Linked DNA regions of Oryzias latipes. The protein of the gene in region 1 binds, or shares a complex with, the protein of each later gene. Links are inferred from orthologs where the notes say so. Each region holds a gene or a part of one and is shown on either strand. Other genes may lie near its edges.

Region 1 (3,818 bases):
GGATATTGGTTGATGGAAGTCGATCCATCTGTGGCTGAAGGCTAAAGGGGAAAATGAAAGGCGTATTTGCCTTTTTAGGGTGCTAGGTCAAAAATGGAAAGAAAGTGTGGTGGATGACACGGAGGGGAGGACTTGATGTTTGCCCTGGAGGTGAGCCCCCCCCCCCTCTCCAACTCGCTGTCCGCCATCGCGCATCACTTCCCATTTAGGTTAGAGCGCAGCGGATGGCGGTGGTTTGACCTGTGGTGACCTGCATACTTCATGTTAGTGATGGGGCTTCCACAGGGAAGGACTGGGGCTGTGGAACCGTCACGAAAAAACGACACAAAGAAAATGTTGAAAACTCTGAACAATAGAGGAGCTCTGCAGATCTTAGGTTTTAGGTTACCATCGCCACAACTACAACAGATTCTGCTGAAACTAAAAATGAATTAAAACATCTAAAGTGAATTTTGTGGAATTAGGGCCTAAAAAAGAAATTCAGTTATTTGTGATCTTACAGTTTTTCCATTTGTGTTCAAAGAAACATGTTAGTCTGGTAAACCGAAGAACTCTATTTTGTTCTATTAAGTATGGATGGTAATACATTTTTTAAATGTCAGAAGAGTTTATGCTGCATTCACACTGGACGCGATTCACGTGTCAAATTCCTGTATGCTGCTTCTCTTTTGATGTGTGTCAGATTTACTGCTGGACGCCTTGACGTCCCGGCCGCAGAGCAGCTGCCAACGTTTTTCTGGACTTTATTTGTTGCAGCATCATGAAAACATGGATGATGTTAAGCTGGGTTCACCAGATCCTCTTCCTTTTCACTGAGTTGCTGGTGACCAACCCGGTTACTGGTGGGTGAAGGCGGGGGACACCCTGGGCAGGTCAACAGCCTGTCAAAGAGTCCAATGTTGGAGCTAGCGAATGCCGCCGATCAGAGTCCGGCCAGACGGCGGGAGCGGGCTCGATCACTGGCGACCTGCCCAGGCCGCATCCCGCCTTCACCCAACAGTAACTGGGACAGCCGTCTCCCCACAGCGCCAGTGGATTGAGAAAATGGATGGAAGTTCACGATGAAAATCCTCACGTCGAGCAGCCATATTGAATTAATTTTTCTACTCTTTGATCGAGCCACTGGAAATGTCACGTGCCCAAAGCTGCGTCCCACGCGCCCCGCCTAACGCCCAAATTGTGCCGCAGGACCTCAGATTGCATCTGTACATTGACTTAACATTGAAACTCGACGCCCCCATGGGCAAATTGTGTCATGTGTGAATGCAGCCTTAACCTTTGTATACTAAAGAAATGGTACATTTTACTGATCTGTCCATTGGATGTGGGCTTACTACAGCTTCACGTTAGCTTGCTTGCACCTCTGTGTTAGCATACTGTAGTTTTATGTTGGCACGCTGCGGCTCCATGTAAGCGTACTGCTGTGTTAGCATAAAGGTCAGAGCATTGACTGTTACCGGACCGAGCGAGTGTGATGCCCTCCCATAGAAAATGGCTTACTTACGGCTCCAATGAGATGTAGGCAATTCAGTCGCCATTTTTCCATAATATAGAGGCCGCCATTTGGAGCCAGCTGACATTAGTTTGCAGTGATTGGAGTTAATTTTTGATATGGCAGCTACTGTCGCCAATCGTAGTGAGCTTCTTGGACGTCCACACCCCTACCACTGAACGCAGGATCAGGAGAATCTGTCAATCAAAATTTCGAGTGTTTGAGGTGGGGGCCAATGGCACCACATGCTTTTACTGAGGCATCTGATTGGCCAATTTATAACATAACATGCATAAAGAAATTCCAGAAGAGGGCCCGTTCTTTAAACCGATCTCCTTCCTTAGATTCAAGCTGTTCCCCCAATGCGTCCCCACCTTCGGTTTCCGGCACATTCTCCCCCTGACCGACCAGGTGGATCGATTTAACCAAGAGGTGCAGAAGCAGCTGGTATCTCGCAACAGGGACGCTCCTGAAGGCGGGTTTGACGCCATCCTGCAGGCAGCCGTATGTGAGGTGAGGTGCTTCTTTTGTCACTGTTTCCGATGGAGACACATTTCCTGGGGGGGGGGGGGGGGGGGGGGGGGGCAAGAAGTTCAGGTCCATTGTGGCTGCTCGTCTATCACAGCACTGGCTTCAGCCCGGTTTCCTCCTACAGTGGAATTGTTTGCCAGACACGACAGTGGCTCCTGCCCTGCAATTAACTGGTGTTAAACCGTTACAGCATGGAGGCGGGGCTTCCCCAACTTGTGGCCTTATTGGTTGAACTTCTTTCACAAAGTAATACTGCTTCACCGCTTTTTTGCAGAGGCCTGTGGGGGCATAAACAAAAGTTTTTGGACAGATTGGGGTGTTATTCCATCACCCAATGCTTACACGCCGCATTCACACGCCCTCCAGCAGAAGCCCTCTCCGGGTTTAGGAGGTGCAGCTGCGTTGCGTCTGAAGGCGTCTGTAATTTTTGGATTCAGAGTAAATTTGCCCTCTGAGCAGGGATTAGGTTGTCTTTGCTGCATCAATGGTTTGTTTCAGAGTTGGGCCTCGCCACACAACAGCCTTTCTGTTGTTGGTCTCACAGACGTGCTAAAGGACAACAAAGAGGCTCTTAGCTGATTGGCTGAAACACGCCGTGGTTCAGTCTGCGCCTGCCTGTTGGTTCCTGCTGATAATGCTCTGGACAGCTCTCCTGCTTGTTTTCACACTGTGTGTGTGTGTGCACACGTGTGTATGTGTGTGTTTGGATACAGTTTTTTATATTCAAGTTTTCCTCCCAAATGAAAGATCTTCTTCCACTTTCGGCTTCTCCCATCAGGGGTCGCCACAGCGAACGAGTCGCATGGTAAATTTGGCAATGTTTTACGCCGGATGCCCTTCCTGACGCAACCTTCTCAAACCGGGCTTGGAACCGGCAGAGGTAGAGAAGGGAACAGGGAGCAGCCCGGAGTCGAACCCGGGTTTCACGGACGGAAGGCGCCGCAAACCAGCACGAGCTAAACTGGCAAATGAAAGATAAAGGTTTTAGTTTGAAAATCTCTTTCCACGCCTTTGTTTCAAAGGAAATAACTTTGAAGCAATTGCTCAAATATATGACTTAACTGAGAGGGATCTGCTGATACTTGGCAGTGATGCTACTGCTCACTCTGTCCATTAATTGCAAGGGTTGCGTGACAGTATTGCTGCAGGTTTACAATGGCACCCAGTTTTAGAAAGTGCTTGGGGCCGCATGTTCTTGGTTCTGTTATGACCAGAGCCTACTTAATTTTAATGGGGGCCGCATTTAGTCCACGGGCCAGACTCGGGTCATGCCTGCCTTTGTGGCTTTGGCTGCCTCTGCAGCAGGGCCTGATGGGAAAACTGCGGGTTTTTCTTCTACTGCAAGCCGCCCTCCTTCTTCAGCAGCTTTACATGAGTATTTGCTCAAAGGCAGAGGGTGTGGGTGAGACGCTGACTGCTGGATCTTCAACAGGACAAAATCGGCTGGAGGAAGGAGGCGTATCACCTGCTGGTGTTTGCCACGGACGACGTGCCGCACCTGGCTCTGGATGGGCGGCTGGGGGGCCTGGTTAGGCCTCACGATGGGCGGTGCCACTTGGACGACCAAAACGAGTACAGCGCGTCCACCAAGATGGTAAGGTCCACTGAGACTGCGTTCATTATGTCAGAAAATTACCCCTGTATTGTAAATCCTCTCCAGTTTAGTTCTGAGAGATGAAGCAACACAGAAGCTCTCCAAGCTGAGACTTCCAAGTTTAGCTGTCTTCTTCAGCCGTCTGCTTTCAGCTGTCTTCTTCAGCCGTCTGCTTTCAGCTGTCTTCTTCAGCCGTCTGCT
Region 2 (2,971 bases), on another chromosome or scaffold:
GCTTGACCTCAGTTCTAAGAACGTTGAAACGTCGGACCCGTTCAGAACCGTCGATTGCATCCGATGAAGTCAGCAAACAGCGAGTGGTCTGAGCCGGACAGTCAACGTTTCTATGGCCACACCCCTACCTACTTTAAAGTTGGCTTTAAAGTGGGCCAACAGGCCCCTCCTACTTTAACTGAGGCATCTGATTGGTCAGTTTATAACTGGAATAACTTAAACTACAAAAGAATATTATGGAAAAAATTTGGCTTATTAATAACATGTAAATAAAAAGAGGTATCAGAGCAAGAATGGATGATCTGGCTTCTTGGAGCCACTTCCTGTTTGGGAACGCCGTGGGGGGGGGCACTCAGTCCAGTTCTAAAATACAGTTAGTGATTCTGGTGTTGGCTTTACGATCAGCTGTGCAGATTTCTTCATCCGAATGATCCATCTTTGTGAGTTTGACGACAGCAAAAGTTCATTTTTGAGCATCAAAAAAATGCTTTCCTGCGCTCAAACCCATCAAACAAAGTTGGCAGGTTTGCAGCCTTTTCGTGGCGTTTTACTTACAGGAGCTGCGGGGGGTGGGGGTGGGGGGTGGTCGAGGTTCACCTTCACTGTATGGAGTCGCATGAAAGACCGACGGAACACAAACAACCGCTGGAAACGACAGAAATGTGCAGAAAGTGTTTCCAAAACATCCTGTGACGTCTTTCTCTTCCCCTCTTCCCCCCCCTCCCCTCAGGTCTCCCCGTTGCTCAAAGGCTTCCTGGACAGGATGCTGGTTCGAGAGCCGGCTCAGAGGGCCACGGCCAGCGAGCTCCTCAAACACCCCTTCCTCGCCAAGTCGGGCCCGCCGTCCTGCATCGTCCCGCTGATGAGGCAGAACCGAATGAAGTGAGGGCGGGGGCGGGGGTGTGCGTTCCAAGACCAGAACACTCCTGCACACAGAGGTCGGGGGTCAAACGCCGGCGGTTTGCAGGAGGGCCCCTCGAGAACCGCGGGGAGCGCTGAGCGAAAGGCAGTAAGCTGCAGGCTGAAGGTGCAGCTGCAGCTCCCCGCCGGACGCTCCACCCCAATCCTGCAGTGAACGTTGCTTTTGCACATCGGCCGGACGCCCTGAAGGGGTCTAGAATGTCCCTTCTGGGCCTCCTCCTCCACAGACGTTCTCCCAAACCGAACACTATCTTCATCCAGAAGCTACTACTGAGAGACGAGAGCTTTGACCTAAACACTGGATCCCACTAGATGATTCTTTTCCTGACATGAACATAGAGATATATCTGTTTAACAGGCCACTGTTGTGTTTTCTGTTCTTCCTCTTTAGAGTGATGATTTTGTGAAGCACTGTGGAGATAGACGCTGCTTTCAGCCGAGCAGACACTAAACCTTTTTATTTTTAGTCCGCACGTTACTCAGACAGCAGCGGGAGAAGCAGCTCGGCTTCTCCGAGGCCACTTCCTGCAGCTGATTTCTGAAACTCCGTGTAGAAAATAAGCTAAAAGAGGCGCCGTTTTCCTTTCTTCTTCTCCAGCTCCCACCTCTCTCTCTGCTGCAGCTCTCCGGCTGCTGTTTACAGTAAACGATGTGGATTTTTATGCCGTCATGCTGCGTCGCCCGTCTCCTTAACGCCTCATCGCGGGATCACCCGCCAGTCTCTGAGCGTTTCTTCAGGTTCACCTTAAAAAACAAAGAAGAATCAGCTCAGATGATCGGGTTCTTCCAGCTCTGATCCTCAGAGGATGAACTTCTTAAATGTGAAGAACTAAATTGATCGTTTTTGCTCTCCTTCAGGCCAAGTTTAAAGCCGCTTTACCTCCACGGCAGACGTCCAGACGGCTGTTTGGCGTTCTGGATCTGCTTCGTGGCGTGAAGTCGGTTTATGAAAGCCGCGATGGAACCAACAGCCGGAACTTCTCGGCTCCGTTGATCCAAAAGCGTCACAGGAAGAGCGATGGTTTTGTTGTTTCCCGTTTTACCAGGTCAACAGAAGTCTCCAGTCATCTCTGTGTTCATGTAAACACGCGTGACGTGGAGCTCCGGTCCCTGAGATGAAGAGTCGAGCCTTTCCGCCCTGATTTTAGTGTCAACAGACGGCTGATCAAAGTCTTTTAAGATCATTTAACAGATACGCGGTTTTATTTTATTTTAAGGATTTCAGAGCCTTTTAGTTCCTGTTCTGTGCCTGTCAGTTAGCTGTCATGCCTTAACGTCTTTGTTTTCGAACCGGTCACCTCAGCTGCTGAGAATCCGCAGGTTTTCCTCGCCACGTCCGACGCGACCTGTTCGGCCCGACTTCCCGCCGCAGCAGGACGCCTCTGTAAATGTCACTGTAAAAACGTCTTTGCAGATTTGACTCTTTTTGCAAATACAGTTTTTGTTAAGGATCCCGTGTGTGTCTGCAGTTTGTTCCTCACAGAGCGGCAGCAGGCGTTTGGCAGCGGCGCCGGGAAGCAGCGAGTTTGTGCCTCAGAATCGGAAAAGAGTTATTCAGGAATCACTTTTTTATCAAAAGTGAGGAGCTCTTCCTCTCTGAAAGACCCACTCTGATCTTCTATTCATCTAAAACCAAAAAAGCCTAACGTTTTCTAGACCAGTGTTTTTCAACCTTTTCTGAGCCACGGCACACTTTAACCTTAAAAAAATCCCGCGGCACACCAGCATCCAAAAATTAAAAAAAAAAGGAGAAACTCATAGTCTGTATTGATCTACAGCCCCTCCCTCCACAATCTCACATGCATTTTTGAGATAATTGTTACAGAAAAAGCTGGAAACTGCAGCTGTTTTTTCTAAAAGATGCAATAAAAGATAAGTTAGAAGATTTAAAAATAGTTTGATGTGTGTTCGTTGGTTTCAAAACGTTTAACAACAGATCTCCGTATGCGCTGTCACTCTCACAACCCAATGCATCATGGGAGATGTAGTGCATAAAACGGCCGGAGATTGCTTTTCGGAGCTTCATTGTTTTGTTCACTTGTTCCACGGT

What was found.
Region 2: the proteins of itgb5 (region 1) and pak4 are in contact, whole or in part, in a crystal structure (PDB 7S46), measured with the Homo sapiens proteins. The link is inferred for Oryzias latipes from reciprocal best matches to the Homo sapiens genes ITGB5 and PAK4. Residues at the interface, in NP_002204.2 of Homo sapiens: Ser762, Arg763, Ala764, Arg765, Tyr766, Glu767, Met768, Ala769, Ser770; in NP_001014831.1 of Homo sapiens: Gly330, Ser331, Gln358, Arg359, Leu362, Thr404, Lys442, Ser443, Asp444, Asp458, Phe461, Leu475, Val476, Gly477, Thr478, Pro479, Tyr480, Trp481, Met482, Glu507, Glu512, Phe516, Asn517, Glu518, Pro519, Pro520, Met524.

Annotation. Positions count from the first base shown.
Region 1 is NC_019879.2:658,394-662,211, forward strand, and holds part of itgb5 (integrin beta-5), read left to right. Parts: intron 1-1,836; coding exon 1,837-2,005; intron 2,006-3,455; coding exon 3,456-3,617; intron 3,618-3,818.
Region 2 is NC_019871.2:3,962,429-3,965,399, reverse strand, and holds the end of pak4 (serine/threonine-protein kinase PAK 4), read left to right. Parts: intron 1-730; coding exon 731-886; 3' UTR 887-2,372; downstream 2,373-2,971. UniProt on the Homo sapiens protein: Serine/threonine-protein kinase that plays a role in a variety of different signaling pathways including cytoskeleton regulation, cell adhesion turnover, cell migration, growth, proliferation or cell survival.